Linked DNA regions of Drosophila melanogaster. Changing the gene in region 1 together with any one later gene gives a genetic interaction. Each region holds a gene or a part of one and is shown in the gene's direction. Other genes may lie near its edges. The genes, in order: Kap-alpha3 and tutl.

Region 1 (5,718 bases):
AACCTTGTCCTTGACCTCTGCAGTCATGTTAGCCACACCGGGCATAGTTCCCTGTTTGAACATGTTAATGGCATTTCGTCGCGCAATCTCGAGCAAGCGCTTTTTGTCTATGCCGAGGTCACGCGAGCGAGATCTTGACTTTCGGTTTCTCCTGGTGTTGGATTCGCGCACGTTACGCTTGGGTGAAACCGACAATTCCTCCTTTTCATCATAAAAGCTGTTGTGCGCCCGTCTACGGCCGTTGGAAGCCTTCTCCCGGAGGTACGACTCCTCATCGGAGAGCGAGATATCGGAGAGATCTTGTTCCTGCCGTGACTTTGTGCTCGCTGATTCAGATCCTTTCAAGCGATCCGCTTCACGTTGCCCGTTGTAAAAGCTATTGTTGGAGCGGACGCGTTCCCTTTCATGCTCCTTTTCCCGTTCCCTTTCTCGTTCCCAGTCGCGATGCTTCTCCCTTTCATGTCGTTCGCGCTTTTCGGAATGACTGGAAGGCTCCACAGCGCTGCGCTTCCGGCTCTCAGACTTTTCTTTCTCCTTCTCGGAGGGAGCTTGTGCTGCCGTAAACTTATCTTTGGATTTGTCCCTATCCCTGTCCCTGTCCCGATCCTTCTCCTTTGATTTGTCCGTAACGCGGTCCCGATCTTTCTCCTTAGATTTGTCCCGGTCCCGATCCTTCTCCTTGTCTTTGACTCTGATGTCTTTATGTTTGTGCTTCTTACGTTTATGCTTGTGCTTGCCTTCCGCCTCCGAGTCGCTGCATTCGCCATCTGACTTGGTCGTCTTCTTTTTCTTGGCCTTCTTATCCTTCTTCTCCTTTTTCACCTTTTTCTTTTTCTTGAACAGATTGTCGTCTAGAAGTTCCTCTGGTGGAGCGGCATTGAATACGCCGAACAGCTCGGCAAGGATCTCGTTCGAGGACTTTACAGGCTTAATGTTCTTCTTGTCGTCCGCCGACGCGGAGCTCTCGCTCTCCCCCGACTCGTCATTGTTGCCCAGTTCATTGCTGTTGCTCCTCCGCATCAAAGTCACCATCTCCGCCTTGATCTTGGCATTCATGGCCCGGAGTTTGGCCTCCACCTCTGCGTCCGGTCGTTCGCTCTTTACCTTAATTGGCGGAATCTTGGTCAGTGCAAGTGGCTCCTGAACCGGAGGATTTGTCTGAGACCCCGCCACTTGAGGCGTTTCTACGCTCGCCCCTTTCTCTGTGTTCTCCGTCATTGCTCTCTCGCTGGGCGCGGATCGTCCTAGTGTCTATGCATGCTAATAGATTACCGCAACAGATCAGCGAATTTGTCGCTGTTCGCGATTAAGCGTTTTTCTGCACGTCTTGCTTGGACAGAAGTTTCAATAATAGCGATGACACTCGTAATGGTATCTACAGTTCGCAGGGCTCAAAGATATCGATACTTTGCTAGAGTTGTGTAATAGTACCGTCACGACAAGCGCCTGCTTGAAAAAACCTAAATAATAAGAATTGCTATAATGCTTTTTAAGACAAATGAAATATTTCCTAAATAATGTTCAACTGGTTCATAAGCTTACAACTCCAACTGAGTAAACTTAAAATTTCTAAATTTAAAAAATAAGTCGACATAAATTCAGATCTGACGATTGGTGCTTCAATCGACCCTGCCTATAAGTGGGCAGTCCCGAATTGCCAACCGCAGCCAACTTCACTCACGTCGTTGTCACTGATTGCAATTTTAATAAAAAGGAAAGAATTTTATCACTTTTAAAAGACGTAGAAAGTGTATGTGTCGTGGGAGAAACCCGATTTACTTGCTAAAAACGTAAGTATCCTCTACCGAGGACCAAGAGAAACACTTTTTTCGCCCGTTGCATTGCTAATTTTCATGTATTTTTTCGCCATTTCCTTTTTTCAATGCCTGCGCCATCGTGTTATGCTGCAACTGTGTTGGTCGATTCTACGTTATTTTTTCGTGGATGTGCGCTGGTGTGGGTGCGAATAATTTTTCCCATTGGCTGGTGTGCAATTGAAACAAATTATTAATTGTTCATCGAATACGCTAGGAGGCGTACGTCGCCAACATCGCATTCAATAGTTTTTAAAAACTCACTTTTTAACAGCCAATCGAAAAAGCAAACCCTTATACAAGGAAATCAGACAAAATGACGTCTATGGAGCAAAATCGTTTACAAAACTTCAAAAACAAAGGGAAAGACCAGGATGTGAGTAGTTAGAAGTTACCGCTGAAATGGGAAACATTATAATATTAATTAATTTGCAGGAAATGCGACGTCGGAGAAATGAAGTCACCGTTGAGCTGAGGAAGAACAAGCGCGAAGAGACCATTCTCAAGCGTCGCAATGTGCCCAATTTGGACTCGAACACAGATGAGGAGGAGCAGTTGTCCTCGTCCATTGACCTGAAGAAGCTGGCAAAGGCAGCCGCAGACGCCACCAAGCCGGAACAGCAACTGGCCGCTGTTCAGGCTGCCCGCAAGCTGCTGTCGTCGGACAAGAATCCACCCATCAACGATCTGATCCAAAGCGACATTCTGCCCATCCTGGTGGAGTGCCTCAAACAACACAATCACACAATGCTCCAGTTCGAGGCCGCCTGGGCCCTGACCAACATTGCCTCTGGCACATCGGCTCAGACCAACGAGGTACGTTCAGCTTTCCCTCTCAGCACTTTCTTTGTTTTAATGCAATATAATCCTGTATAGGTTGTTGCCGCCGGTGCCGTGCCGCTCTTCCTTCAACTTCTCAACTCGCCCGCTCCCAATGTTTGCGAACAAGCCGTGTGGGCCCTGGGCAACATCATAGGCGATGGTCCTTTGCTCCGCGATTTTGTCATTAAGCACGGAGTCGTGCAGCCACTTTTGTCGTTCATCAAGCCAGACATCCCCATCACATTCTTGCGCAATGTAACATGGGTTATTGTGAATTTGTGCCGCAACAAGGATCCGGCTCCCCCGACAGCCACCATTCATGAGATCCTGCCCGCACTCAATGTGCTCATTCATCACACCGACACGAACATCCTGGTGGACACGGTCTGGGCCATCAGCTATTTGACTGACGGTGGCAACGATCAGATCCAGATGGTCATTGAAAGTGGAGTTGTACCCAAGCTGATACCACTGCTGGGCAACAGCGAGGTCAAGGTACAGACAGCCGCACTGCGGGCTGTTGGCAATATTGTGACTGGATCGGATGAGCAGACACAGGTTGTGCTCAACTACGACGCGCTCTCCTACTTCCCGGGCCTGCTCTCGCATCCCAAGGAGAAGATCCGAAAGGAGGCGGTTTGGTTCCTTTCCAATATAACCGCTGGAAATCAATCGCAGGTGCAGGCCGTTATTAACGTGGGTCTCCTGCCCAAAATTATCGAGAACCTAAGCAAGGGCGAGTTCCAGACACAGAAGGAGGCTGCCTGGGCCATCAGCAATCTGACCATTAGCGGCAACCGCGAACAGGTCTTCACCTTGATCAAGGAGGGCGTCATTCCGCCATTCTGTGACCTCCTTTCATGCCAGGATACGCAAGTTATAAATGTAAGTATAATTTGCGTCTCTTCACATATTTGTTTTGAGTAACACATTCCCCTTTTTTTTAAAGGTTGTTTTGGATGGTCTGAACAATATGTTAAAAGTGGCCGATTCTCATGTTGAGGCGGTGGCCAACTGCATTGAGGAATGCGAGGGCCTGGCCAAGATCGAGCGTCTGCAGAGCCACGAAAACGTTGAAATCTACAAACTAGCTTATGAGATCATCGATCAATACTTCACTGATGAGGTGAGCTAACAGTTTAAGTCAACCGTTTGTTATTATTCTAAAACGTTTTTGATGCATCCTTTACAGGGCGAACAGACTAACATGGCACCGACCTCCGACGGCGCACAATACAATTTCGATCCACACGCCGATAGGCTAACGATGAACTCATTTAACTTTTAACGATTTAATCAGAAAGCAGCCGCGCAGTAGCAGTGAAGTGAAAACCAAACACGTGCAACACCACATAATTTGGCGTTTATTCGTACACAATCGCTTGTGTATGAACAAGCCCGACGAGCCGTCAACCAATTCACATAATAATAGCATTATATTTTGTCCACCACACAGCAGCAATTAGACAGCCGGGTTCGTTTTAGGGACGAGAATAGGAACTCTGGAGGATACACAACGGATAATCCGCTGCAGCCGTTTTAGCTTCTCTCAATTCTGTGTTAACAAAATTACAAAATTCAGACATACACACACTCTTGGGTGTGTGAATGTGCAATGCAAGGACTTCTCCGATTGAAGCGACTCTGCTATAGATCATCCAAAATATAAACACAGGAATGAGAAACAGATTTCAAAAAGAATGTAGACCTATTTGATTTATATGAAATTATTTAAATATTTACGCTTCTGATTTGTAATTGAAATTACATATGTATACATTTCTAACATGAAAACGATAAAAGCAAAAGGCAACTCATCATTTTGTTTCCAGGCAGATAAGTTAAGCGGAATTTTATAAGAACAAGTGTGTCGCGTTTCAAGACCAGGCATTCGAGTTGTCCGTCGGCCGAGCTGTTAATAATTAGCGTTTATTTCAGCTAGTGCGTCACTTGAGCACGTTTCCCATTAATGCGCAATTGCCCGTCTACCTGGCAGGGCAGCTGAAAAATCGGCTTTCACATGGCAACAGATCGAGTAAATATTTGTAAACAATCAGATCGAAAATCGAATTCGGATTGCAACAGAAGGGACTGGGCGTTTCCCTCAATTGAGGGATCAAATTGTATTAATGACTTATCTGCAAAGCATCAGTTTCGCTAGTGTTCTGTATACAGTATAGGATACTTTAAATCAGTTAGATTTAGTTGAGTGATGTGATGTATGTTTTACTTTTAAATCTTGAGGAGTGTGGGAATAAATAGCTCTTCATTTTACTTTTACATATTCGTTCTTTCATATAAAGAAAGTTTCGCCTGGCGGTTGTTTTTGGAACTACTCAGAATATTTACGTGTAACTTACCCATCATCTACATGGGCTTCTATAATTATTTATAGGACATTCCGAATTCTGTGATGAAAGTTAACTTTATGAAAGTGGTTCCAGCTCGTGCAGTACAAATCTTTTACTGAAATTTACCTAATTTTTCGAAAATAGTATACTTTGACTTATATATGCAGGCGGGACAACGTTTACCAACACTAGAATTTGAGATGGCAGATTGTCTAGCTGTAGTACCCCAGCTGTTGCGGTGCTAAAATTATTTTTATAATTGTGTAATTGTATGTGTTTTAATACGTCATTTCCTGTGAGATTTAATAAATATAAGATTTAGATATTAATTTTTTTGTATTAGTGAAAAATGGCGCATCACTGTTGTCGCGTGACTCCTAAAAAACTTGCATTTGCCTGCTATTTATAGAGATGCTGCACTTGTATTGGTAGCGATGCATTCGATTCAGACACATTTGCTTCCGTCAACATTTTGCTGCGGAAATTGCGGAAATTGGCACACTCTCCTCAAGGTCAAGGATGTTGTGCGATAGCTAATGAACCTGTGATCGTGCAAAAACCTGTTCCTAAAGATGAATGCATGATTTTTGCACTTTTTAGAAAGTCAAGTACGAGTTGTAGGTACAATTGTATAGGTATTTCCTTAACGTGTCAAATTAAACACGTTAGAAAATAGCGCGCTCAGCTGTTCGAGTTTGCGGCTGTGTGGGTGCTAGCTCTCTCTTTTGCTC
Region 2 (4,818 bases), on another chromosome or scaffold:
ACTGTTGTGTGACAGCTGTTCGATTTCAGGTAGCATCGACTTTGAGCCCAGCATATGGCTGGCTCTTCAGCACACTCAAGCATTCAGGGAATCGCACTTGACAGCCGTGAAGCGTCGACTCTTAGACGAACGAGCCACTTTGGGAGGCGTTCACCTGTCTGAAGTCAGAAATTAGTGACTTGGTTTGCTCGTCGTTGGTGTGTTAGGGAGAGGGGGAGTGGGGAAGGACCTATTAACGGACCGGGTGAATTATGATTACGGGATGGCATGCATGGCTTTATAGCATGTAGCCCCCGATTATGTGCAGATTTATTGCAGCTAAAAATCAACGCTAATATAATGCATAAATCAGAGTGCCAAAATCAACATATATGTAGTAGGTACTCTCTTGTGTGTGTGTGTGTGTGTGCCAGTGCACCAGAAGGAGGTCCTGCGAAGGATTCGCCAGAGTGGCCTGTGAACCAAGTGAAATTCAGCGAAAACGAAACATTTTGCCAAAGTTGTTGGGTGGCAAAAGTGGGTGTTGCGAGTGGGTGGTGCCGAATCGGGTGGTGATTCTCAGAGAGCAAAAGAGAGAAAGAGGCCAGCATATTGAGGGCGTCTCTCAGCAGGATTTTGTCTTTGCAGATTTTCGCGCAGTCGCACTGATTTCCCAACTTCCAGTGGCGGAGTTTTCCTCTCGCTCGGTCTGCAAGGGAAATATTCTGTCGCTCGAGCACGGGGAAACTGGGTTTTCTCGGCCACGGCAGCAGATGTTGGCTAATTGAAGCATTACAACGTAGGTCAGGCTCACCCTGAGTTGTGGGAACTTTATGACTGGCCAAAAGTGACGATGCGAATGGACCGTCGAGGCTGCACGGACCACCAAATGCAGGTAGAAATCATAGATCATCGCTGATGATGTACCACATTCTTGGGCATAATTAAAAAGCCATTTAAGCGGGGGGTTCGCTCGCATTATCCAATTATATGGCCCATGGCAGGGGCCTACGCTACGGTTCTTTGGCTACTCAAACAGAAATGTTTTGGGTGTTTGGCACTTAACACATTTCCACATGGCTTCACTCTTTCAACTTTGAGCGGGCTGCGCAGGCGCTTTTCGCCTTTTCTGAGCGCCAAACGAGTTGGGAGTTTGGCGGTGAAACTGGTTTTTGGGTCACAGTCACATCGAAGGGCCCGCCGACAGTTGAGAACAGGTAAACTCGAGATAATTATTCAATGAAGCCGAGCGGCCGCGCAGAAGGGCTTCCCACACACAAAAAAAAAAAAACATTGGTAAAGTGTTGACCAAAGAGTTTTGGTAACTGCAGCGCTAAAACAAATATTCAAGCAAGCCTTGGAAATCATGCAAATATCTGAATGTATTAGGTGTTTTCTTAGGTCTCATTTCTACAAGAACAATTGCTGGAAACATATTCCTGGCCTGAATTACACCGCATTTGTTTCGAGTGCACTGCACTCCCCTGAATTCTCGTGGTTCTCTGCTGTCCGGTCCGTCGTCGTCGGAAAGCCATGTCAAAGGGTTAGGACAGGTTCGCTGGCCACATTCGCTCGGCCCGAAGCTGAATCGGAATATGGCATTAGCCAGCATCATATAGTATAAGAGAGTATAGGCTCTCTCTTTCTCGCCGAAGCAGCGCGCTCTCTCGCTCTCTCTCTCTCTCGCAATCTCTCTGTTCGTGCAGCAAATGCCGTCTCTTTTTCGAGTGGCAAATCGAGCACTCCTGACGCAGATTCAGTACTCAATTGTTGTTCCACCACGGCGTACGTGAACGCGGACGAAATCCGTAGAGTCCAAAGCAATCAGAAATCCCATTTCAATCGCAGCGTTCAGTGGCCGTAAGTGCTGTCTCGCTCTCGCCTTTTCCCAGTGTCTCTGTGTGTGTGTGCGTGTGTTTGTGTGCGACTAGGAAAATTGTTCAAGTTATGGATACGCAAATTGATGGAAAATGATGAGTGAATAAAAGAAAAACAAAGCAAAAAGCGGGCGGCAATCAAGCGGAACGTCACAAATTCAAATCACCACCGGAAAAGGGGTGGGAAAACGCTCTCCCAATTGTGCGTGTGTGTGCGTACATATGTGTGTGTGTCTGTGCTGAAGTGGAAATTCGCTCGCGTTTTCGGCGCTTTTCACGCTCCTTTGGCCAGAATCGGAAAAACAGGACCACACCCGCGCGGGTGCAAAACTTGAAAATGGGGAAGAAAAAAAAAGCAGCAGAACAGCCAAGAAAAACAGCGCTGCAAGAAAAATTCCAGTTTCCCAAAGGATCGCAAAGAGAGTGACAGAGAGTTATAAGAGACATTTCTGAAAACTTGTACTGGCTGCAAAGTTCTCAATGGGGGGGTTTTTCGGGCCAGGACAGTTGCGCAAGTGAGCAGTTACCGTTATTGGGGAATTTTGGCCAACAAGATAGCCGTTACGCATCAGCTGATTGCTTGGAAGGGAAAATAGAAGGACCTTTTCCAACAGACATACCAGCATATAGAAACTTAAGAATATTTTAATTTTTAAAAATATTTAAAGTTTCAACAAAGAGTCTGTTAAATATTTATTTTTAAAACTTTATCAATACCAATATCCTTTATGGAAATATCTAATGATGTTAGGCAGCGTTGAAAATATTAAAACAACAAGTTTCCTATCCTAATGTTTTAGCACCAGCTTGATAACTTTTCGAGCATAGCTTGCTCAAAAAATTGCCAAAAAATTAAACCCCATATTTTCCCGCTGAGCACTTTTCCCCACTGCCTTGGAAAACTGGTTCTCTCTGTTTCTGCTTTTTGGCCTGTGCAGCCGTCGCGATTTTCCAGCGAGCTGTTCGACAGGCCCGTCGTCAGTCGGAGTTTTCAAAAAACGCCAGGCAATTGGTGTGGCGGCGACGCACAGCTGTGAGTTTCAGTTTATGGTTTCGACCTGTGATTTTGGCCCGACCAAGTGGAAAAAACAGTGGGAGGATGCTAATAAAGCAGCTCGCCAAGTGACAATTATATAATGCATATAAGGCGTATAGTTCGTATAGGGCGTACATATAAGGCGTAGCCACCGCATTGACCCATGAGTCACGTGTTTCGGAGTGTGTGCCGCAGTGAAATCCACAAATGCCGAAGGACCTTTATTTGTTGACCAGACCCAGTGGTGACAATTGCCACAACCCATGCTCATATTTTTGATTTTACGCCGTATTGATTTTATTTGTTGTGCATAAAAGGCGCGTTTATACGCAGAGTCCTCGCATCGCCATTCATTTTACGCCTTATGTCTTATGAGTTTTGCCTTTGTTCTGAAGCACTCAATCAACCATTTCCCCCAATCAAATTGGAATAACATAAAAATCCTTTGTGCAGCCCCACGTAAAAGTCAACGGTTTCAAAGTCCTTCGTCAAACGCATACGCCCAGTGTACTCGAAGTGGAAAGTGTCATAAAGTATGCGATTATCCTGTAAACAAAGTGTAAAACGCGCCCAGTAAACGCCGAAAACGAAAGGCGAACAGCAAACAACTCCCGGATTTTACGACTTGAGCAATCAAACTCGCCTGGTCACTCACCAACTTGAGGACTCCCGGACTGTAGGACTCCAGGAGTGCAGGACTCTTGGAATTGGCCAGTACACAACTATAGAATTGGATCTGGGCACGTCGTATAATGATTGCGCAAGTGAGGTGAGTCACCACCCATTAGGGTCCAAAATGTCGATATACTCTAAATTGTAATGTAAGCGAAATCCTCGGGGAAAACTACTGCAGCTACAACAGCTACAGCAGCAACTAAAACTAAAACATCGCCAATTGCACACACATCGAACAGAACAATCAAATGCTCCAATGTCCGCAGGCAAGAATTTAATTAAAATTTATGAAATTTCAATTACATCGGCAAGTGTAAATAAGTGCGGTTGCGAGCATTACGGGCCCAATTCAATTACGAAATTTTCAAAAGGCCAGAAAAAAGTACTCTGGCCCAGAAAAACAAACAATCGAACCGAACCGAACTGAACTGGGCCAGAAAGCAGAAAACAAACGGCAAATGCCAGGCGGGAATCGAAGGGATCGGTTTTCGAGAGGGGATTGCAGTTTCGGTGGCTCGAAACGGATGGAGGGGCTTGATTGGTTTTGTGGCTTTGTATCTTGCTAGGAGGAGCTTCCAGCGTGGCTAGATCTGACCATCTGTAGTTCGAAATAACAAAGCAGCAAACATGTGTAACCGATGACGACAAAGACGGGGACAGATGATAAAGACAAAGGGTTATTAGTGGTTCCGTTGGCCAGGAAATTGCAATTCCCATAGAGGGACACACCATACGGATACGGATCCATGGCTTTGCGCTTCGCTTCAATCGCTCCACTCGCCTCTTGGCAGTCATTTATTCGAATATTCGAATTTCCACCCCGCCCCACAAATGCTTAATATTGATAAATGAAGTAGTTGTTTGCCCATTTCGCTCCACACAAAATGGGCTTACTACGCCCACTCCAAGGAAATACGGAGTAAATTTGGGCCTGTCTGTCGACGGGTCCCTGAAATGCCAGCAATCATCGGTGGATCGATTTACCATTACATTTGGTGCATGCCAGATATTTACATGTAAATATATAAAGGCTGTAAGTGGGTGCTTGCGTGACTGCCGACTAAGGTCACTTGGTAACCTATTCAAACGAGTTACGACCTCGCTTAGCGGCGATAACGATAACGATAGCGATAACTATGCTCGCACACGAATGCAGGCAAAAGCGACGCGCCATAAGTGTAAACATAAACAAGAAATTGGGGTCACAGCTTCGATTATCGGAGATTTGTATATACTCTTTTCCTGTTTGGT

Evidence for each region.
Region 2: of Kap-alpha3 (region 1) and tutl, changing one enhances a phenotype caused by changing the other (phenotypic enhancement), as found in Drosophila melanogaster (one study listed by BioGRID).

Annotation. Positions count from the first base shown.
Region 1 is NT_033777.3:9,573,680-9,579,397, reverse strand, and holds Kap-alpha3 (karyopherin alpha3), read left to right. Parts: upstream 1-1,664; 5' UTR 1,665-1,750; exon of another isoform or gene 1,751-1,790; intron 1,791-1,924; exon of another isoform or gene 1,925-2,088; 5' UTR 2,089-2,130; coding exon 2,131-2,190; intron 2,191-2,249; coding exon 2,250-2,630; intron 2,631-2,690; coding exon 2,691-3,521; intron 3,522-3,585; coding exon 3,586-3,762; intron 3,763-3,828; coding exon 3,829-3,924; 3' UTR 3,925-4,914; downstream 4,915-5,718. Other genes in the region: Son RNA binding protein, read right to left, coding at 1-1,218.
Region 2 is NT_033779.5:4,281,414-4,286,231, forward strand, and holds the start of tutl (turtle), read left to right. Parts: upstream 1-1,734; 5' UTR 1,735-1,839; intron 1,840-2,836; exon of another isoform or gene 2,837-2,889; intron 2,890-3,287; exon of another isoform or gene 3,288-3,345; 5' UTR 3,346-3,661; intron 3,662-4,818. UniProt on the Drosophila melanogaster protein: Essential protein that plays a role in the establishment of coordinated motor control. In the developing eye, involved in axonal targeting of the R7 photoreceptor.